Linked DNA regions of Arabidopsis thaliana. The protein of the gene in region 2 purifies or fractionates together with the protein of the main gene of each other region. This does not show direct contact. Each region holds a gene or a part of one and is shown on either strand. Other genes may lie near its edges.

The links.
Region 1: the proteins of SEP3 (region 2) and CHR4 purify together in Arabidopsis thaliana (affinity purification with mass spectrometry, with the first as the bait; one study listed by BioGRID). This does not show direct contact.
Region 3: the proteins of SEP3 (region 2) and PKL purify together in Arabidopsis thaliana (affinity purification with mass spectrometry, with the first as the bait; one study listed by BioGRID). This does not show direct contact.

Annotation. Positions count from the first base shown.
Region 1 is NC_003076.8:18,089,125-18,096,415, forward strand, and holds the start of CHR4 (chromatin remodeling 4), read right to left. Parts: upstream 4,784-7,291; 5' UTR 4,064-4,783; intron 3,157-4,063; 5' UTR 3,039-3,156; coding exon 2,820-3,038; intron 2,726-2,819; coding exon 2,624-2,725; intron 2,525-2,623; coding exon 1,769-2,524; intron 1,137-1,768; coding exon 1,041-1,136; intron 910-1,040; coding exon 1-909. Other genes in the region: AT5G44820 (Nucleotide-diphospho-sugar transferase family protein), read right to left, coding at 6,671-7,153. UniProt on the Arabidopsis thaliana protein: Chromatin-remodeling protein that binds DNA through histones and regulates gene transcription. May specifically recognize and bind trimethylated 'Lys-27' (H3K27me3) and non-methylated 'Lys-4' of histone H3. Probable chromatin remodeling factor.
Region 2 is NC_003070.9:8,590,986-8,599,792, forward strand, and holds SEP3 (K-box region and MADS-box transcription factor family protein), read right to left. Parts: upstream 5,114-8,807; 5' UTR 4,878-5,113; coding exon 4,693-4,877; intron 3,907-4,692; coding exon 3,822-3,906; intron 3,713-3,821; coding exon 3,645-3,712; intron 3,561-3,644; coding exon 3,461-3,560; intron 3,383-3,460; coding exon 3,341-3,382; intron 3,258-3,340; coding exon 3,216-3,257; intron 3,131-3,215; coding exon 2,988-3,130; intron 2,896-2,987; coding exon 2,805-2,895; 3' UTR 2,591-2,804; downstream 1-2,590. Other genes in the region: AT1G24256 (uncharacterized protein), read left to right, coding at 1,093-1,191, 1,410-1,481, 1,563-1,754, 1,936-2,004. UniProt on the Arabidopsis thaliana protein: Probable transcription factor active in inflorescence development and floral organogenesis.
Region 3 is NC_003071.7:10,711,313-10,718,847, reverse strand, and holds the start of PKL (chromatin remodeling factor CHD3 (PICKLE)), read right to left. Parts: upstream 4,784-7,535; coding exon 4,709-4,783; intron 4,441-4,708; coding exon 4,297-4,440; intron 4,203-4,296; coding exon 4,065-4,202; intron 3,975-4,064; coding exon 3,820-3,974; intron 3,718-3,819; coding exon 3,556-3,717; intron 3,288-3,555; coding exon 3,073-3,287; intron 2,982-3,072; coding exon 2,886-2,981; intron 2,779-2,885; coding exon 2,642-2,778; intron 2,549-2,641; coding exon 2,336-2,548; intron 2,246-2,335; coding exon 2,138-2,245; intron 1,977-2,137; coding exon 1,926-1,976; intron 1,836-1,925; coding exon 1,736-1,835; intron 1,605-1,735; coding exon 1,462-1,604; intron 1,347-1,461; coding exon 1,243-1,346; intron 1,145-1,242; coding exon 1,006-1,144; intron 753-1,005; exon of another isoform or gene 650-752; intron 249-649; coding exon 79-248; intron 1-78. Other genes in the region: AT2G25169 (uncharacterized protein), read left to right, coding at 4,834-4,917, 5,390-5,505, 5,870-5,934, 6,133-6,242. UniProt on the Arabidopsis thaliana protein: Chromatin remodeling factor that represses the expression of embryonic trait genes (such as NFYB9/LEC1) upon and after seed germination and thus enables the developmental switch to post-germinative growth. Silences some MADS-box proteins such as PHE1 and PHE2.

The DNA of each region.
Region 1 (7,291 bases), on a different chromosome or scaffold from region 2:
AAGCTGATGGGCAAACAAGGCACCTCCTCTGAGCTCTTGAGGTTGTTCTGTGAGGGTAACGACTTCACCCCTTTCCCTTGTGGGATTACCCTTACTATTCCTTTCCAATGTTTTCTGCTCATACTGATGAAAAAGATCTATTAAATGGGATGAATGTTTAAGAATAGGCTCCTCCAAGCTCTCCCACGTGCATTCATCATAAGCTAAGCCTGTCCACTTTACGTAAGCTTCTTGGTTACCTTCTTTTGAAACCCGGAGAGCAACTATTCGCTGAGGCTGTTTCCATTTATCTTCACAGATGTTTATTACAGCTGTTCCGTACTTTGCTTTGTAGTTCTCTAGTTTTCTTTTAGCTAGACCTTTCAGCTCCGCCTCAGAAATCCAAGTATTATGAATATTAGATTTATCCACCCATTTAACAAGAAACTCATATGATACAGTCTCACCAATAAGATCTGAAGTTTTAGCAGCAACAGGCTCCTCAATTTCTTCATCAGCCACAGTGCTTTTTTCCCCTGTTTCCTGATGTGCTTCTTCAAGTAACTCCCTCTCAACAGATACATGCGTTTCACTAACTTTCATATCTTCATCATCCACATGTCTACTCAATGTGGCATTGGAAATGTCTTCAGAAAGCATCTCTTCTTTCACCTCAACCATACCCTCGGTACCTAAAGCAGAATCATCCATATCTTTATCCCTCAGTCGTGAATCCCTCGAACTTTTACCTGTCTCAGAAGAAGAATCTATTCTGTCCTCAGCAACTACTAATTCAGCATTCGTATCTTGTACTAAGCTATCCCGTTGGTCAGTAGCTTGTAAATTATCCGAACACAAGTCATCTGAAAGAGCACTACACAGCGAGGTTTTAGTCAGACCTTGGATTCGGCATCCTAAAACACGATGAACCTGTTAGGAAACCACAAACAAAAGAATGAAAAGAGATATTAACAAGCATGAGCAACACATGAGTCACCAGAAATGAGGGCGCATCATAATAGATAATTCTGAAGGAACAACATTTTTATTTTGATGGATACCTGGAGGTTTCCAACCGGAAGAGAGTTTGTATCTTCCAAACAACTAGAAGATTTATTAGTGGCACGTACTGCACGACGTTCCTCCTTGGGAAGCTTCTGCATTAGTACGTATAAGTGGTTAAGAACATATACTAAATGAAAGATGATGCAAGAACAACAACGAATAAAAAAAGAAATCAATAGGACCATCAAGAAATTTCAACTCTAAATTCCTAAAGAAAAAAAATCAAACTATTTCCAAGCTCCTGCAGTTAAAAGAGGTATCCATAATTCATCTGCCGAAACAGAGGTATAGTCACATGTATCATAACTACTTGTGAGAAACCACTATACTAATAAACAGGCAAAACAATATTGAGTTTGTGAAGAGTCGCAAAATGATAAGCAAAACAAAATGTCACTCTGGTTATATAAGAACTTAAAATAGCCACAATCTTCAGGACAGAACAAGAAACACTACATGCAATATTGACCAAAGACTCTTTACATTAATGCAGAAGATACTCAACATTAAATACAGAGTGTCAAACAATCTTGAAACGATTCTGAATCTTGTAACTCTACCAAATCTCTGATCTCTGAATTTTTTTTCTTTTATATCTTTTTAGTGCTACAACACACTTAAGAAAAAGGCGTGGATGCAACATTTTAAGGTTTCAGACAATTCATTTCCCTAGTATCAGCATAGTAGAATGTCTACAAAATCTATCATGAGTAGGAAATCATACCTTCACTTTTTCTGGTGTTTCTGTCTTGGACTGAGGTTTGGACAAGGATTTTAAAGTCACACGATTTTTCTTTTTCTTTTTTTTCGAAGACTCCGGTGATTTGGTAGTCTGAGAACTGGAACCCACTTTGGACAAACTTTTCTTCGCGCGTTTCTTATCAGTCTTGCACCTTTCAAGACTTTCCCCATCATTTAGTTCACGCTTCCGTTTTTTCCTTTTACCTTTTCCAGTCTCCATTTCAGCAACTGTCTTGTTCTCCACGATCTCACTGGAAGCATGTTCCAACTTCTCCACGGGTGCTTCATGAGTTTTCTCCGTATCTGATAGTTTAGATTCGGAGAGATCTTCACAGGACAGCAACGTTAATCCTGCATCAGATGGTAAATCTGCAGTGGGTATGACGGGTTTCCCCAAATCATCTTCTCCATGAGACGATGAATCAGGTCGGTCATCCGCAGATGCATGACCAAGCTCAGCAGTTGAACAGCCATCCATCGGGGAAGAATAAACTTCCTTTCCTGTGGATTTGCTCTCTTCGGCCGATATAGATTTCCCTTTCTCTGAAGATTGTTCTCCAGAAATTATAGAACTGCAATAAATCTGAGAAGCTCTTTCGCACTTTGGTCCGGCTTTTGAATTTCTTTTCTTGGTTTTTGTTCTTGCTCGCTTAGCAATGGCATCTAAACGATTGACAGGCTTGAGTGCTTCACTGTTTGGGGAACATTTTGGGCAGATCCACTTACCATTTGGAATCCGCTGGAGGAGACGAGATAAGGAGTAAGACAAGTTTCCCAAATTTAGGTGTTGCGAATCTACGACTACAAACGACACATGGAAAAAAAAAAAATCATTTACCTTAAGAGGTGGATTGAGGCATGCGGTATGATAGGTCCGAGGACAACTATCACAACACAATAAATCACCACCAAGGTCACAGATCACACATTCAAAATAATTCTGTAAGGAAAGAAAAATGATTAATTAAACAACACCATATAATAAAATAAGGAGACAAACTTTTAAGAACACCAGAAAGATAAAATGAAGTTACCCCATCATTTCCTTTCCTCTTAGAGGAGTTCCTTTCAGGAGTCGAATCAGTCTTAAGCCGCTGCTTACTTGGTTTAGAGGAAGAAGTGTATTCCGGGGAATCAAAAGCCATAGAACTATCCACTTTTTGGTCTAATATATCTAGTATAGACGGAAGTTTTCTTCGTTTCTGCTTCATGACCCAATCTCTTTTAATCATTTCACTGCCTGAATCTTTCATTTTCTACTTCTGTTTCCATACCATATGCTTGATAGAGAACCGGATAGACCTTCATGTGTAAATCACAGCTACCGAAGTAACTAAAGAATACTGGCCTTCAAAAAACTCTGTCTCTACACTAAAATTGTAAACAAAAAACGAGTAATGTAAACCATAATCTAAGATCAAGAGACACTGAAACAACAGTGAGGTAGTTAAATACTTAAATTGTACACATGCTCAGAAATACTGAACAGAAAAATTGATAAGATTAAATGAAGTATAACTCAAATCAATGATGCAGCATCGGACAAAGCACAGTGTACCAAACCATAAGGCCATAACCACAATTTCATTCACTTTTAAACCGATATGAAATCAAACAGCGTCATCCAAGCATATAAGCTATAGAAGCTAAGAAACTAAATGATGTCACCCCTAAAAATGGTGGTATAACGTTAGAAGCCTCACCATCCGTAATCAAAAGTCTTAATTAAAGATGAGACACAAACCTAGTAAGTAATCTAATCTTAACACAGCTTTTATAATAAACGATTCGTTCCCTCACTCCTTACGAATACTTCCATTAAATTCATACTTAATTACATTCCTCTACTGCAAACTACATTCCTCTACTTCAAAATCAGGTGTTCTCTAAGGCAATAATACACTAGTTCTAAAACATAGATCAATGATCCTATATAACTGAAATAATCAACGACAGATGGTAGAATTCATGAATCACTGAGATTCAAGTAAAGACAGCCATTGGTAATGAAACTCAAACAAACATAATTTCACACACAAATCAATAGAGAAAAGAGCTAAACAACACACATTGGCACTAAACATAAAGCTTCATTGGAGATAAACCCAATTCCCCCCCAAAGAAACTCAATTAAACCGAATCACACTAAATCAGTCCTTAATTAAACAGCATTAACATTACACAAGCATCAAAACCCCTCACCAAGTAAGATAAATCATCGAAATTACATAAGCAAATACAAAAAGAGGAAATACCCAGAAAGGAGAAAGCAGCTTACAAATCTGGGAATCTGAAATCGGAATAAAGTTGTTAAAGAGTCCTCCGATAATCAAGGACGAGAAATCCGGCGACGGAAGTTAGGGATTGAAGTCCCGGAGAAAGGGGCTTCTTCTTCTTCTTCTTCTAGGGCACGGCCTCACGAGAGAGAGATACGAAGGGAAAGAGAGAGAGAGAATGAGAGAAAGAGAGAAGGCGACACGCGAAACGATAAATAAATTAGAGATAGAGAGAGAGAAAGGTCAAGTCTTTGAGAGATGGGTTTGGGTTAAAGGGAGAGAGAGAGAGAGAGAGATAGCGAAAAGAAAGGCATATGATTCGGATTCGCCGGGCTCATAGGGGAACGGACTCTGACATGGCACCCAACAATCGCACCGCACGAGACAGAACCGGGAACGGAGAGTGACCTCTCTTCCTCTCTTTTCACTACACGTGTCCCCCTCTCTCTCTCTTTATCAACAACCCAACAACAAAGGTCTTGCCTTTTTGCTTTCTTCCTCCGTTTCGGTTCGGACCGGACCCTTCTCTGCTGTTATGTCTCGAACCATCATTTGTGTCAAGTGCGATCCAATGAGAGAAGAGACAAAAATCCGCCATGGATCTTAATTTCGAATTTTGTCTTACTTATTAGATCCTTTAGTTTCTACTTTGATATTATTTTTATGCTTCTTGTTTTTAGCTGGTTTTAGTTAAATTCGTTTAGATACTACTAGACAGAGAGCTTTTTAGTTTTATAGAATAAAGTTAAAAATTTCAAATCTATGTTTTTAAAACGCCGCCACCAGAGAAAATGATTATCTTTTCTTTGACGTTAATAACCTTAATTTAATGTTCTTCAGACTGAATAACTCTTTTTTTTTACTGTTATTTTATTTACTTAATATTTATTTAATGAAAAATTGTAAAGTGGACCATCAGGTATTTGGGCCGAACTTAGGTTACTTGTGATTGACATTAGGATTATACATTTGGGACCCATTTGATAGGCCTTTTGAAAGTGATTGCTGTCATAACATATATTCATTTTATCTGACACAAAATTTAAAGTGTTTAAAAAAAAAAAAAACAGATGTGGTTTTGTAATTGATAACGCGTAATTTTAATGGACTTTGTAACACTACAACTGAAATTTGTTCTTCTATGGTTAGTGTCCACTAAAAATAAGGTTGCATAAATGTTGGGAAACAAATATTGTGATTGTGTTATTGGATGGATGGTTGTGTACTTGTGTTATTTGTTTTTTGCAAACCAAGTTGAACACATTTGTTTTTGTTTTTTTTACAAAGATGAATCGATAAGCAAGGTGAGATACTATGGTTTACATTTGTATCTAGAACACGGTTTTATTATATGGTGTTTTACTGTTTTTGTTATTCAAATGATTGTTTTCTTCTTTGGTGATCTTATAGTTATAATACTGTATCTTTGTAGGTTCTTTGATAATTGAACAACATATTCATGAGGAAGATGAATTAAATGTAAATATTATATGTAAAACTTAAAATTCAAGTGTTTCTTTACATTACATCAATTATGGAAAATGTGCCTAATCGTACATTCTTTTGGGTTGGGTCTAGCAGTTGAAAACTCCTTTCAAAGGAGCACAAATTCTCATTTTTTTTGGGCCAATGGACCAAGTACTACTTGGTAAACATTCAAGTGTTTTTTCTATTTTGTCATGTGTGGTAGTACCATATTCGAGTTTCGACTTGGTTAACGTTTTTTAAAGAGGCAGTATGTGATTATAAACACACTCAACTCTCTATAAGTTGAAGAACTAGTCACAGTCCAACAGATTTTCTAAAATTTATGTACAATAAATTTCAAAATTTTAGGGTACAAAATATCTATTATGTGTTACATAATTTGTAAATGAATGACACATATCATATCATTATTGATGAATCACTTTGTTTAAATCTTGCCTACTTTTAATCCAATGGAGATATGATAAACTTATATAACCTACACTCGAAAGCATCTGGGCAAATTGGCAAGCCACCTATGTTGTGTTGGGCTTCTCCGGCAGCCCATCTCATCTAAATTTAAAAAACTTGTAACGAATCTAGGCCCAAACCAAAATTATAACTGACCAAACCAATAACTACTTAAATCTACAAATCGGGTAAATGACTACAAAATCTACGTTGATAGAACTTATGAAACTACATTGATCATTTTTCATATTACCAAAATCAAAATCGTATCATTTCTTTCTTTTTTTTAATGTAATGTCAAATTATATTCAAAAGAAAAAATATATACGTTTTTACAACTTGTGCTTCGGTAATTGAAAATAAGATCAAAAACTTTGAGAAATTTCAGAAAAAGTTTGAAACAAAAATCGTATCATTTCACAACACAATTTATTCAATACATTAACATTTCAAACCAAAAACACTAAAAGTCTAGAAGATTATTTTAGTACTTTCTAGCATTCGGCTCGGAAAACAAAAAATGACATTAACAAACAGAGAAAATTAACCATCAAAAAAAATATTTGATTAGATTAGAGAGCTAAAGAATATTCCTTGCACGAACAATAAACTCTTCATTTTTAAATATACTTTTCATCCAAATCTCAACAAAACAAAGAAAGAAGGAAATCTCAATCTTCCAAACACTTCATAGGAACACTCCACGTCGTGTTCTGCACTGGTTCTGACAAAGACAGGTACTTTCTCCAATCATCAAGGACAAGATTCAGATCATGAAGCTTCTTGTCCAAACCAATACAACAATTAGCATGCATTGTGCAAACCAAGTTTATGTCTCTGCTCGTTTGACAAAACCCACCAAAGTAAACTGTATCAAAGAATCTCATTTGGATTCCAATCTCTGAGATAAAAGGCTCATGCTTGATTCTGTTGAACACATCTTGATCATGCAAGTCTGGATAATCTAGACGAGATTTGTGCCAAAATTTGTAAAACTCAATGCTTCGATTGTTTGATCTCACGTATGTGAAACCACCATTGACCCAATTGTCTGAATCATAAGGATTTCCAAAGAATCTGTCACACGCCATTTGGAAGTCTCCATCTGGATATAACCGAGGAAATGGATCTCTAAGCCACATTATATCTGCGTCCTATATTCAAACACACACAATAATTGTCTATATAATCCCTTTAGCTTCGATTGAGAAGAACATTGCAAAATCGTGGAACATATACAACAAAAATGTTGAATTCATCAATCAAACGGAAACCAAAAAAATGACTTATGG
Region 2 (8,807 bases):
ACACTGTTGATTAACTGTTGAAATGGCGTTAGAGGATATTTGTCATATGGTATCTCGTCCCTTTGTTCACTGTTGGCAACCTAAACTCAAATAATAAAAAAGGGTTGTTCTTCAGACAAGAATTACGATCTCTTAGTTACTTGACGGAAATTTTCTCCCGGCTTTTCTTGCATAGAAACTTCGTAAGTCATAGAATATGCAATACAAACTTATATAATTTGTCAACATATACATCAAGACTTACATCAAAAAGATCACAACTCACATCTTTAAGTAAAAACTTGTCTGCTAACTTCACAGTGTGACTTTCATTATAGCCTACTGTGGTTCCCTGCATAATATACAGTTTTACCTGAAACTCCTTAACAATATCTGTGTTGAAAAAAATGGCTCCAAAAAGAACCAAAACTGGTAACAAGTTCCCCACATTTTTTATTCGAATATTTTTATATGTTTAACAAAGCCATGAGTTTTTGGTTTGTTCGGCGCATGTGGTTATGCATGCTTTGGTTTGTTCTATAGTTCATGGGTTCAAATCCACCCTTCAACATTATTATTATTCTTATTTTTAAAATGCTTAAAACAACATAGTTTTGATAATTTGACTTATACTGTTTCTAAAATCTATACACGAATAAAGGTTATACGGGTTACTTTTGATATTGCGGTATTGAATTGCATTTATTTAAAATGAAAGGTTAATTTGTTTGTTTTTTTTGCACAAAACCCAAGTTATAATTATATGTATAGCTTTTATTAATGGTGCTTTAAATTTTGAAGTGAGGAACAATGTTATAAACAGTTACCAAATTTTGCAATGGCATTAACAAAAAACACTTTAAATCTATTGTAACTAAAGAAAGATGAAAAAAAAAAGTTGATAAAATACTAGGACTCATGCATAAGGCTGATTCAAGAAACTGTAGGCCCATTAAACGCAAGCCCATTATAAACATTAGGCCGATCCTTATCTCATTGTTTACGGCCATGTCCCTCTCTTTTTCTCTGAAGTGGATGATTTAACCTGTGTCAATCTATCTTTTCGAATGCTTTATCTGATGTTTGATTTCCGTTATAGATTAAAAGGAGAAGATGATGATGAAGGCAACGCGGCAGCAAGCTAAGGCCGTAACATCGGTCTTCTGGGATATCAAGACGTGTCCGGTTCCCTCTGAGTATGATGCTCGTCTAGTTGGTCCGTGTATCAAACGACATTTAAAGAATTTAGGCTACTCCGGTCCTCTCACTATCTCTGCCATTGGCCTATTATAAACGACGTCCTGCGAGCCGTCTCTTCTACTAGAATCGTTCTCAATCACTCCTACTTCCGTTAATATTTGTTGTCATCTTTATATAATGGATATTATTTTCCTTGAGTCTCAAGTCTTTTAAGTCTTTTTCTGAAACAGGTCCCACAGGCGTTTTGCAAAGGCTTTGAAAATTTCACTACCCATCTCTCTAGTCAAAAACATGAACAGATGGTAATTCAGCATCATCCTAGTTAGCCATTTTTTGAGTCAAACAAGCTCTTACCACAACTAGTTTCCCTTTGGGCTACCCAGTTGGACAAGGATGATGTGGCTGTAACAACAGTCTTTTGGGATATCAATAGGTGTCCTATTCCCCTTGACTGTGATCCTTGTCGGGTCGGTCCGGCTTTTAGACAGTATTTAGAGGATTTACGCTACTCTGGTCCGCTCACCATCTATGCCATTGGCCGACTAACAGACATCTCTGATGACATCCTGCAAGCGGTAATTATGCTTCCGGATGGACTTTTTGTATCAATACTTTTTTTCATTGTCTGATCTGGTTTTGAGTCAAAACATTACATCTTACCACTTGTAGTTTCCCTTTCTCACTTGTAGTTTTGTTTGCCTTAATTTGAACCTCTGTTATCTTTTTCCACTGCATGAGCATTTGGTTTTCAAGTAGATGAAGCCCTATATTGGGAGCGATGAGGATGAGGAAGACGAAGACACTAATGAGGAAGACGAGGAGTAAGTAACTTCAAGCTTGTGCAACGACATTAATCTTTTTTTCTCTGTATATGACCATTAAGAGCCATTACTATACATCAAGAGGCACCATGTTTTTGTTTGTTCTCTTGGCCTTGGTCATGGAATATAAGCATTAACAACCTTAGTAATAGAAAAGCATTCTACTCTTGATCAAACAAACTCAAAATTCAAGAAACGCTTCCTTAGATCGTAACTCTAATCGTCGGGTGAATTCACATTTCAATTGAGATCTTAAACCTATGTTTAAGGTATCTGATAAACTTGTCTATCAAATCTTCATGATAATTGAGAATATCAACTACCTGCAAGATATATTAGAACCAAATTTATCTTCTTCTCTATAGTAATACTCCCTCTACAAAAGTATAGATATAGCCAAAATGATATAGGTGGGGCCTACAGATACATAAGCAGTGGCCAGTGAGTTGCTCTTTAACAAGAGAGATAAACAAGCGGTCCCTTCTCAAGACTCAAACAAAAAAACACCAAATAGATAGTGTGAGACTGTGAGTTATATCGTACCATAAATCATAGTTAAGAGAATTGGTTAGATAACATGCATAAAATGGGAGTTATTTTAAAAGAAACTGGATCAGGAAGTTTAGGAGTAATGGGTAAAAATAGGAAGCAAAATTGTCGAAAAAATTATTGAATAATAGAAGGGCATAAACATTACACACACACATGCACACAAGACAGAAAACATGAGAGAGGTAATAAAATAGAAACATCATCTTAAAAATGTCAAAAAAAAAAGAGAGGGATTGATTAAGTGAGAAAGATTCAAATAGAGTTGGTGTCATAAGGTAACCAACCCAACATGTAATTATTCACACTTGGTCCTGCTCCCATTCCATCTTGTTGCCCCTGATACCTGCTCCATAAAATTTAGTAGTTTGAGATACTTTCTTAAGAAAAGCTTATAATAGAACTCAAATCAAATTGGTTATACTAGTCTAAAGTTACCCGATCTGAAGAATGGGTTCACATTCCAAAGGCTGGAAGAAAGCTTGGGAGTGTTGTTGTTGTTGATGATGATGACGACCGTAGTGATCAACCTCTTCTTGGTTAGGGTTCAGCTGGAGTGGCATCTGATACCCATCAGCTAACTGTCACATATGTATATACACACACACATTATAACCAAATTTAGTGATGCATTAATTTGGTGATATGAGAATGTATATTAATTACCCTTAGTCTTAGAGTTTTATTTGTCTCAGTCAGCATGCGTTCCTGCTCCAAATATTTGTGTTTTCTTGGTTACATTACTTTTAGATGAGGAATTTAGAGAGGAGAATGAGTGTTTCTTTATTTACCTTACTCTGAAGATCGTTGAGCTGGTCAAGCATAAACTGTGTCTGCAGAATTAAACACCAAATTTAATCTTACTATGGAAATAGATCAGTGTATAAAGATATTGATGAACAAAGTAGTACCCTGAGAGCTCTGATCTGCTTCAAGGAAGAATCAAGCTGTCTCTCAAGTGACTCAAGCTCCTTTGTACTTAGAGGTCCAAGATCTTCTCCCAACAGATTCCTATTTCAACATCAAAACCATCAAAAAAATCTACTAAAAAAACAAACACTCTCTGAAGGTAGCTGAAGAAGCTAATTAGTTTACCTTTGGGTTCTCTGTAAGGCGTCATAACGCTCCTTAAGCTTGAGATACTCCTGCTGGCTACTAAGTTCCTGAAGTATATGACAAATTATAACATTAATCATTTGACTCTAAAAATCAAAGTAAAAATTGAGAGTAATTAATTAAGGTAATTAGAAGAAAGAGAAGAGAATTGGGTACAACTGCTAAGGCCTCTCTTGAAGGCACATTGGGTTCTGGTGCTCCATAGTTACACTTTTGGTACCTCTCCAGTGTCCGAAGCATGCTTCACACCACACAAAAACATCATTTCTTCCATTAATCTTACTCATCAAGTTCAAAACATGTTTTTAAAAATGGGATTTTTAACTGTTTCCTAGGGTTTACAACAAAATCTGTTAGTCTTTTAAGAGAAGATCTAAAGAACCCAGAAAAAAGGATGAATCCCATCCCCAAGTATACATATCCAACGGACTTTAGATGAATTTGACATTAGCGTCAATTCAAAACCCAAAATTGGAAACCCCTAAGGGTTACTAAAATGGATTGTCGTGGAAACAATATCCCCCTATGAACTTATATCAATCTGACAACAAAATTGAGTGATTTGATCGAATTGGACGACCCCCAGAATCAAAAGGTGGAAACTTTAAGCTTATGTGAATTAAAGAGTACTCACAAGAGAAATTAACCCTAATTTCATATCAGATAGATTGTTCTTCTCTCAGATAATGTGAATTAAGTAGACAAACAAATAAGCAATAAAATATAAGAAAAAAAACTTTGATAGATGTAAAGAGAAATAGAAAAAAAATCAAAAACAAAAATGGAAATCAAAGAGAAACACAAAAGAACATCAAAAAAGCAAACTTGTTATAAAATGATACAGATTTGGGGTATCCCAAATTTTTTTTCCTCTTTGCTTCTTTTAAAAGGATATGATAGAACACGTACGTACGACACAACAACACATCACAGAGAGACCCATACATACAAGACATTTTTGTGTTACTTAATATGTATATAAAATGTTTATGTTATAAGTAATATATATACAAAAGTAGATATATACCTCGAACTACTGCAAAACTCGTACAGCTTTCCTCTATTTGAGAAGATGATGAGAGCAACTTCTGCATCACATAGAACTGAAAGCTCGTATGCTTTCTTCAAAAGACCATTCCTTCTCTTTGCAAACGTCACTTGCCTATTGATCTTGTTCTCTATCCTCTTCAATTCTACTCTCCCTCTTCCCATTTTCTTTTTCTTTCTCCTCTCCCAAAAGATATCTCAATCTCTCTCTCTCTCTTTCCTTGCAAGCAATTCTATATATATATGAGCCTCTCTCTTTCTTTCTTTCTTTCTTTCTTTTTTTCTTTATATTTTTTTTATCTATCTTATATTGCTTTTTAAAGTGTACATATACATTTGTACAAATCTCACAACACTTCTCTCAAAGTACATATAAACATGTCAGCTTCATTACTTGAAATATTCTCTTTCTAATATACTCTCAGACTCAACTATATACCCTCCAATTATTGTGTACCAAAGACCCTCATAGGATTTATTCAAATATTGCAAAATTGAAAGAAAAAATGTTAATTACCCTATCCATGCTTAGATATTTTCAAACCTAAAAATTTGGTGCATTTTTGTGTTTATACATAATTAGTAAAGGAGAGAAATTAGAGTTCCACTCTCACCAACACTTTATTCTAGCTAGTGGTTTAATTTTTCAATTTCAGTCCATATTTAGTTTAGAGAAAAATGTGATTCTGCCAAGAAAGTTTGATGCTTTTTTACTTAGTTCATCGAATTATAGAGATTAATAATTGAAAATCCTACAAAAAACCCTAACATTTAAAACCATTTTTATTTAATACGTTGAGAGAGACAGAGATATTAAAATCGTATGATTCGTAAGAGTGTGATGTTGAAAATGAGAGATTAATAATGGAAGGTGGAGATGGCGCGTGTGCGATGAGTGATTGCAACCCTAAACAGAAAATAGTAGGGCAATGAATGAGTTTGGACACGTGTCGACATCTCGATGGTAGGGTCTGATAAATCCACCTGATTTTTTTATATAAAAAATTTTGATTTTATAAATTTTTCTTTTTTACTTATAAAATCGAGTTCAGGGAATCATGTGACCTAACCTTAACTAGGTGAAGCCTCGTACGATTTTCCCAACTTACGGAACTACCCTTGTGATTGGTTAAAAATGTAAAGTAAAACACTACTCGTTTGTGATGTTTTCATGATATCTAAAACTCTTACTGCTAGTTTTGATAAATCTTACTGCTAGATTTGCTTTTCCTTTTCCAATCTATAGTACTGCTAAGATTATTTTTGTTAGTGAAATTAACAGAAATGTCTTTTGTATTAGTCTACTTTATAAACCACCATTTTGATGTGGCCAAAAAAAAAACCATGTTGATAAATTCAGTTTGGTAAGAGAGTCTGATGAGACACAAAAAAAATTATGGGAAAGAAAGAAAACATAAATGGATAAAATAAACAGAGATTTGAATATAAGATATAGTTTATTTTGGTTATCTTAGGGTTCGTCCGATGTTAGAGATCATGTCTGACCGAAAGTCTTAGTGCTTTTTGGTTGCAGACGTAATTGCTTTATTCTGACCGGTAAGTAGGTGATGGACACAAAGGTATGATTCAATTAGAAAAACTAAACATAGCATTATTATTCTGTTTGGTTATATTTAAACCCATTAGCTTCTTTTCTCTTTTGATTTGCACATTGAATCGCTTATTAATCTCACTTGGTCATGGTCTCATAGAAGCATTTTAAGCAAATTTGCACGAGTTTTATATATTGTCTTCATGTGGGACTCAAGATTTATGATATTTTAATTTGCTTCAATTGGTTTTAGATAAAATAAAATTAAATATGGTTATATAATTATAAGTTACAATCAAAATTAGTTAGAAGGACGTATGAGAAGAAAGGGAAGGGCAAGTACGAATTCACTTGTTATCAGATCTGGTCGTATAATTCAATGTAAGATGATGACAATTGATCGAGATGATGTGCATTAAACCAAAAGAGAAACTAAAGTACATTCAACTATTTATTTATTGATGTCATACCAATGAAGTTAAAAACATATATCTTCTATCTTTTCCTTCTCTTTTTGTACTCTTTCCTTCGTTTTGTGATCCCCCAAAAATTTTCAAATCTTCCCCATTGATAATATATGTGGTGAATTACAAGGTATGAGACCAACAATGATATATACTATATTTAGTTTTTAAACGGTTTCAAGTGTCAAACATTTCAAGAAAATAAAAAAAAAACATTCTTCAAGTCTCTTTAAGAATTTTCCCAAAAAACAATCTGTAAAACATATACCATTAGAGAAATAAAAAAAACTTAGAAATATAACAATGATGTGATATAAATATTTTTGGGATAATTTTACTTTCCACTTAATTGTTACGTAAAGCGTGAATGTTTTTCCGTATTTATCTGTACCATATAATTTTAAAATTAATAAAGGTTTTATTCAGTTTAATTTCTACGGTTCTACCTAATTGTGTACATATAACACGTAATTTTGTTTACCTATTTAGCCATCTATATTATACTACTTGATAACAACACATCGCATCATTATCACATTATCATTTACTTAATTGCAGTCTATGCCAATGTTATATACACCGAATTAACTCAAAAAAATCTAGATCTTGTAAGAAGTATATTCGTAAAAGTGGATATGGCCGAATAAATTTCTTAGTCTAAAGCATAAGAAAAAAAAAGGTTAGTAAGAAAGAAAGAAAGAAAGAAAGAAAGCACTTGGAAATACTCTTTTGGCTTTGGGATCATATGCCCTGGATGGAGCACACACAGGTCCCATTTGGATGGATGGATCAACCAACGATGAGAGATCCAACGGTTCTAAAGAAATTCTCAAAATCAAAAATGCTATTACACGTAGGAAAGAAAGAAGAATCTCGATGTGAAGCTAAAGAGACGACGGTGATCGATAGGGGACCATATCAACTTGCAATGTTTGCACTACAAACTAGAACAAATAAATGCCACGTGAAATCCTACACGACAGCTAAGTTGCGGAGTACTGGTGATATATGTGGTCCATTGGGCGTGAGATGAGAATCGGACGGCTTTGAGGCAATGTCGTGAAGGGTCGAAGAAAGAATAAGAACCGTTGGATTAATCTGCTAAAAATAGACGGACAGGGTCCACGTCAAGACGTAATGGGAAGGGGACCTCGTTACCCAAAATAGAAAGATGGAGTTATCGTCAAACAAGTCACGTCTGGGTTTATTGAGTGGGGTTAAGTTTTTGGACCAGTCTCTCTACTTTTTTTTTCACCCCTCCTCTAATATATAGTAAGTTACTGTTGTCATAGACTCTTAGTCATTATGCATTTTAAAGGTTTTCACTTTTCAGCGTGCAATGAAAAATTTGGTTCATACCTTATGCCGTAAACTACTATAATGGATTATTATGTTATTTAAAAACTCATGTAGATGTTATTTAAGTGTTGTATCACTTATGTACACACTAATAAATTTCAGATTCATAACTAATATATAAGCACTCAAACTAGTTAACATTTTGTCATTTGATTAAGATAGTGACTGGGAGTAAATAACTTTCATCCTTGTAAGTTGTAAAACCTCATGACACCATTAAAACCATAGTTTAGATGCCTAATCCAAGATAAGGATAGCATCAGAAGAGAATATATAGTCCATCGAACTAGATTTGGAGGAGTGTTGAAGCTAGTCCATCGAACTAGACTTTTGACAGTTTGATCCACTTTTTTAAAGATTTGAGATAGTAGAACATCGTAGTTGAGAGTGAATCTTGTTAATCTTGTCACCGTTTCACGCCAAAGTTCGTAGATTGATGAATGCCAAAGCAGGTTGAGGATATAGCACCTGGCCTTAGGTATGTTTTGGGCCGGGGCGAGATAACCAAGTACAAATGTACAATCATCCTCTTGACAAGAAATTTTGCTTAGATTTTTACATATATAGGCTGTTAGAAAAGAGAATGGAATAGGAAACCAACTCTTATAGTCAAGTAATGATATAGTAAGAAAAACAAACATACAAACATATGGGCCTCAATCACTACTCATAAATCCTTAAAAAAATGTGTAATTATACACTAGTGAATGAAGCTTTAAT
Region 3 (7,535 bases), on a different chromosome or scaffold from region 2:
CAAATAGTTCCTCTTACAGCTTGACACAATAACTATGAAAAGAGTACAGATGACACTAAGAGAAGCTGAAATTCAAACCTGTCATAAATGATTACTGTATCAGCCGTTGCAAGATTTATTCCTAAGCCACCAGCTCTTGTGGAGAGCAAAAAACAAAACTTGTTAGAATTTTTGGCATTGAACCGATCTATGCGTATTTGCCGCTCAGCTCCGCCAACCTTTCCATCAATTCGCTCGTACTGCCATTTCTGACAAAGACAAGAAAATGAACAGCGTAAATCATATGAGAATTTTCCTTAACTGCATGTTAAAAAAAAATGTGCTAGAAAGAGATAAAAACAAGTTGTCTCAAGTGCATGCGTCAGCAAAAGCAATGGTATTGATAATGGCATTTCAAGAAACCAAAAAAAGTAATCTTTGAGGGAATAAAGAAGTTATATTGCCAACAGAGTAAGTAATGACAAAAATTCTAAGAAAGTAATTGCACCTAGACATAGAATCAACTCTACCTTTTTCAAGATCCTTAGGCAGTAAGTCGAGCATGTGCTGAACCGAGTGTATATGAGAACAAAGTGTCAAAATAAAAGAGCAAGAATACAGAGATCTCGTATATACGCAGTACAGATAACAAGTTCAGTACCTTATAAGAACAGTAGTCTTCAAGTAGATCCAGCATATGCTGAAACTGTGTGTTTATGAGAACTCTGTACACACAGTTTCAGCACATGCTCGACCTATTGGAAAACTACTGTACATAGAAGATGGCTAAACTTGTGATTTGTACTGTGTTTATAAGGAAACTTTGTGTCTTTGCTCTTTCAGTTGGGCACAGAATGCTCATATACTCTCAATTTCAGCACATGCTTGTATTTCCATAATTGTGCCTAAGTACTCTAACACTAGAAAATGGTAGAGTTGATTCTACAGTGTCAAAATGATATTCTACAAAAACAACAAGAATGAAAATCTACTGAAACAGACTGTACATATAAGAAGTTCAAATACCTTATGGGTACAGTAGTCTTCAAGTAAGTCCAGCATATGCTGAAACTGTGTGTATATTAGGACTCTGTGTCCTTGCTCTTTCAGTTTGACCATCATTTTATCTAGAAGTTGCAGCTTTCCACAAGACTCCAAAAGTTGTCTTTGATACATATAAGAAAACGTTCAACGCAAAAGTTAGCAGACGACTTTAATAAGTAGTAATAAACAGATAACCATTTTTGGGAAATGAGATATTACTTGAAAGCTTCATTTGCGTCGTGAATAACTGGCTCAACACCCTCTAGCATATAAGGATGGCAGCATACTTTTCGTAATTCCATCATAATGTTATTAAGGGAAATCTGAAACAGAAATAGACCAATACATTCACTAGACGATTACAGTTGACCTGGTTTCTACCCCACCTATGAGGTTTAATGATCCAAAAAGTGTAAACAAAAATTAAAAAGAACTTACTTGAGCACCTCCCTTTTTTGTCAATACTTGATAATTACGGGTAAAAATAGCTTTGTAATATTCTTTCTGCAGACTGCTCAGATCAACACGCAAAATGAGCTCCTTTTTGGGGGGCATGTCTTTCATTACGTCTTTTTTTACCCCTGGAAGAGCAATCAAAATACGAGACAGCATGGTTAAGATCATAAAATTATTACTATGAAAGATTCCCTCCAACCAAACTTTTGAAACACATATAAATTAAAAAAGATGAACAAATAGTTTTGGTTAATACTTCTGAGCAAATGTGGAGCCAACATTTTGTGCAACCTTGAGATCTGCTCCTCTTGATTAATATCTTTGAACTCCTCCTGGAACTCCTCCAAACTTCCAAACTGCAAGTATTGTGCAATCAAATAACATGTTAGCTACATAAAATTCTGTTAAGTATGCGAACTTATTTATCTTTGCTATTCTTGTGATACCTTCCCCGCATCAAGAAAATGCATGAGCATGAAAAGTTCATCCAAGTTGTTCTGTAAAGGCACCACATAATCATCAGTAACATATTGCAACTAATCAGGTAAGACATTAGTGCAAGATAATATATAACAATTCTCATTGCAAATCGTAGCTACTATGCTCAGATACAACTATTGAAAGTATAAACTTCAGAAATCAAACTCAAATGACGAACCTGAAGTGGTGTTCCTGTCAGAAGAATACGGTGGTTACTTGAATACTGTGTCAATGAAGAGAACAGCTTTGAATCCTTATTTTTCAGTCGATGACCTTCATCAACAATCTGCCCAAAACAATTGTTACTAGGCAACATGTAAGAGAGAAAGAGAGACGACTAAGAGAAAGTAAAGTCTCATTAGAGAATAAGAGTTACCATGCACTCCCACTTAATTGGTTTTAGAACTGCTGAATCTAGGTTGATCATCTCATACGATGTGAGGAGGACATCAAACTTGATTCTTTTTTGCTTGCTTTCGCTACTTATTTGTCCAGATTTCTTTTTCTTGATCTTTTTTTGATCTTTCGATAAGTAAAACTCATGTTCTCTGATAACTGCTCGAGCTTGCGCAGTGCCAAAATACATAACCTACCCGTCAAATGACCACGAAGACCATTCCATTAACAAACAACAAAAACATACAAATGGCACAGATCATTGCGTGTATAACTGCATACATACCACGTTCATCTGTGGGGCCCATGTGGCAAACTCTCTCTCCCAGTTACGCAGAGTCGATAGAGGAGCAATTACCAAATGCGGAATGAGGTTCTCCTCAAAAAGTGAAGCTAAAAGGGCAATGCTTTGAATTGTCTTGCCTGTAACAGGAAAAATCTCACAACATTACAGGAATAGAAAACAAAGGCCCCTTACAATGGATGAAAAGATCTATGTGACCACCCAAGTGGGACAATTGAAAAATTACCTAGTCCCATTTCATCAGCAAGGATTACATGCGTCTGTTTTGACCACGAGAACCGCAAAAAATTAAGTCCCTCAAGCTGGTATGGATGTAACAAGCCTTCAATCGCAGGAAACAAATAAATCATAACATCTATAAGTACCAAATATAAGAAACATTTATAGTATATGATTTAAGGTGATCCAAATACCTTTGAGGAATTCAGGAGTATGATCAAACTGTTGAAAGTCTCTGGGATTTCTTTTATGGTCAACATCTTTACTTCTGCGAGTTCTAGAATTTACATCCTTGAACCTTTGAATTTCATTCTGGAAGGTTGAGATGTCTGATTCTGACTCCCAATAACATTCATCATAGGATAGCTCTTTATATTTGACAAGATATTCCAGCTCCCCATCTTCCTCTCTATATCATAAAAGAAACCAATGCAACTGTCACAATTCCTGATTTACGAAACAACTAAGAAAATGGTAACTTAAAAAGAAGAAAAAAAAGGTAAGCAGGTCATTTATCATGTTTCAGAGACCCAAAATCGTGATAACAGTAAATTTAGGTTAAGCAGCACTCTATCAAAGATACGTGTTTATTAGAGAATGGATTATGCTGAAAACAAGGATATTAAAAAAAAAGTTGGCAGATAGATAAATAAAGGAATTAATTCCATTCTCTAGACCTGCAGGCAAGAATCCGATCAACAGTGGTCCACTCAGGACGTATGGCAACAAAATCATCTTCGCTGTTATTGAATGACTCCATTTGACGGTGAAAATTGTTCACTCTGGTTTTTAAACGATGATTTGACTTATAAGCCTTCTGGAACTCCTTCTCAGGCACCCTATGATTAGTAAAAGGAAATAAATCACATATTATAGTGTTCACAGAAAGAAACATTGATAATTAGCGTGTCCAGACAGCAAAAAAGACACGCAGTAACTACCAAGAGCAGTGAAGGTATGATAATCCCTTCCACTTCACGAGATACTGTTTCACAAAAATTGGCTTCGGTTCCGCATCGGAGGAACCTTGTTCACTAGATTTTGTAGGACGCATTTCACAATCCAATATCTTATCTATCTCGTTAAGAGGACTAACCTGCAAATGTAAACAACAATTCTTCCATGTAAGAAAAATGGAACCTGTAGCATCCCAAAACATAATTGTGGACCGTAACTAAAATCTTACACATTCAGGGCATCTCCAATTTTCCACGGAAGCATCTTTAAGAGGTGGAACTAAGCATTTAGCATGGAACGCATAAGTGCATGTATTGCAGCTTACAAGATTAGTACTTTCCCCACAAGCCTGACATGCATTTTCTTTCTACAAATTCAGAGTAACAACACAAAAAAAAGGATTAAAATAGAACACATAAAACAGTAAAAGCTGAACAATAAGCTCGAGAGGAGAAACAAACCGCATCAGTTCTGACAATAGCCTCGACTTGCTCAAAGGTTCGATCTTTTTTAGGAACGAAGTCGTCATCATCAGAATCATCTAGGTTATAAACTGGTTTCCTATCAGATCGTATGCGAAGCCTCTCCACCAAACTACTCATTTTCTGCACACAAAACATATCTCCCATCAATAACAACAAACTTACATAAACAACACATATAACAATAGACTCAGTGCTAGTTCTGAGACTTAAGCAAACTATGAAATTAGAGTTTCACACAATTGAACTCTACTACCTAAACAAACATCACAGTGAAATTTTTTGTTCCCAATCTAAAACCTTTACAACTATATCAAGAGATAGTTCGTACAATAGCTACTAAACAACTCGATTCATCAAACTCTATACCACATGAGCAAGATCGACTAACCTTGTGAAAGAGAACGAGAGAGAAATTGGAAAAAACCCTAGCCAAAATTACCCATAAGAATAAACAATTGAGCATCGAAATGTGAGTACCCAGAAGTCGAATTAACAATCTCTTACCGCAATATCATGAAAAGATCAAAACTTTACAAAACCCAAACAGTTTCAAACTCAGTTTGTAACGAAAATTTGAAAGAAAGGAAGAGAAAAATAGTAACTTGAGAAGTAATTTGAGAAGTCGAAAGCGATATTACTAGTCGAAGATAGAGTAAAAAGTGAAGCAGAGAAGAGTGTGGAAGAGAAGGAGAAGACGAACCTTTGAAATGGTTGGGATCTGTTTTTGCAGAAGAAGAAAGTAATCCGAAACGAACGAAACTTGAAAATTCAGACAACACAAATGATTTCTAACATTTAGCTTACCAATTTTAACTTATGGTTATTATTAACTTTAATACACTTCTTAAGGTATAAAATATCACCTCTAATTAAATTACCTTCTCAATATCATTATTTTTTCACACACAAAAAACTTACTTTTTTGTTTGAAAAAATTATAATTACTTCTAACTTATAAAAATAAGTGTCAAAAATAATGACAATTACTTTTCACTTACCCAATATTGTTATTATATAAACTTAGATATTTTTAAATATTTAAGTTTATTTACCTTTTCCCCTCAAAGAGGCTAGAGGAAGATTTAACATGCTTTGCTTGGTTTCGCTATTTATCATGGAGCTGAAATCTCTTGACGTGGGTTCACTCCTTGTTGGTGCTAATTATGGAGAAGATTTTGAGACAAGGTTTAAAACAATATTGAAGGAAGTATATGCTTCGAATGGGCAAACAATCTTGTTCATTGATGAGATTCACATTGTTATTGGTGCAGGTGCTCTTTCTTTTTTTGATTCAGATTATACATTAATAGATGACCTTTTTATTTATACACAATACTTGTATGCATTTTTTTACTCTGACCAAGTAAAACGTTTTGTATAAATGGTTTTGATGGGTGGTAACTCTATAAAAATGATTTTTCATCTCATTAGAAGAATACTGCATCGAACAATTATTGAGGATTAACACTGGAGATGAACAATTATGTCTACTAAGTATTTCTTGTATAATCTTGTGTCTCTATACTAATGAGTTATTACTCTTGTGTAGGAGCTACTTGTGGAGGCGTGGAGCAATAGAAGCGAGCAACTTCTTGAAACCGTTGCTTAGACCAGGTGAGCTGAGATGCATTGGTGCAACTATGTTTGTTATATCCACCTTAACTTATTTAGCTTAAACTTAACCAACCAAACCCACTAACACTTGTGGGGCTATAATTCACTTACGGCCCAATGGCCTTATTACAAAACACAAATCCAACTCCGTTCTTATGTTGGATTTGTGTCGTTGACTCTTCTTCCTCCTTTGGTCAGTGGTCACGACAACTTCTTATTCTCTTCTTCCTCCTTTGGTCACGACATCTTCTTCTTCTCTTCTTCCAAGCTTGGCTTCTTCTCTTTTCTTCATCTTCTTCTTCTCATGAAGCTTTCTTCTTCTTGTAGGATTTAATCTAGGATTCAATCTCCAACGACATTGACCAAAAATATATAGAGAGATATCCAACGCTAAAACGTAGGTTTCAGCAAGTGTTATGTAGTCAACCAACTGTCAAGAACTAATTGCGTAGCCCTTACAATATGTAATAACAATTGTAGCTTAAATTACATGCTTTGTTTTCAGATTTTAACTATTAAATTTTTGGTATATTTCTTTGAAATTTTTTGGATAGTTCACAAACACATTACCATATTTAAATCTGAATTATTATGTGACATCAATATATAGTATAACAAATGATGATGAACTATAATTTAATCGTATGGATACTAGCATAAAGCTTATAAAATGCGTGCTCCGGTGTTATTACACGTGGTCCAAGTTCGACTATAGAATACAATACAAAGGACACAAAATCTTCATGTACAATCAAAAATTATCAACCCCATATCTTATAGTTGGAAACGATCCAAAATAGGTTATATAAATAAAATATATAAAATATGTCAAGTATAACGGTCTCACATCACCCTTTTGGCTTTTGGGGAAATATCGGATTTATAGAAAAAAAAAAATAATAATAATAATTAAGACAATAAAATATTTGGTCTGAATCTTTTTTGAGATACTGTTGTATCATAACAATATCTTTTAGAGTCATTCAACATCAATCCACATGTATTGCACTGGAACATGCATTTTAATAAGGTTCTATGTTTGTTAAATTATGCAGTCATGTAATAATCAAATTTTATGATAATGTCTTTGTAAACGCTATAAACTAAAAATTTATAATAGTTACATGTGTAAAAAATGTTGTCGCTTAACCATGTCATATATATGTTGGTTGGTATACGTGGATATACGATACATATAATTGGTGTAGTTAGCTCTCATTTTTTCTTTTGTTTTGTACATTATCGTCGTACGTCGACTTTGTATACTACTTTATACTCCGTCAAACTAAAATAACTTAAAATATAATAAAATTGTATTCATTATATTCACAGAAAAATAAAAATGTTATTCTTGTAACAAATCAAACTAAAAAAAAGGGAAAATAAGAATGACTAAATGTTTATGAAGACGAAAGAGAGAAAACATTTTTGTATTTTTATTGACATTTTTTAGCAGTCAAGATGTTAGGGTGAGGAAATGAAAAGTTAATAGAAACATGTATAGTAAAAGAGACATTTTTTCTTGATTGTAGATAGTGAATGTACGAGTATACTATCACCATTAGATTTAAAAAAAAAAAACATTTTGCAGAATTATTCAT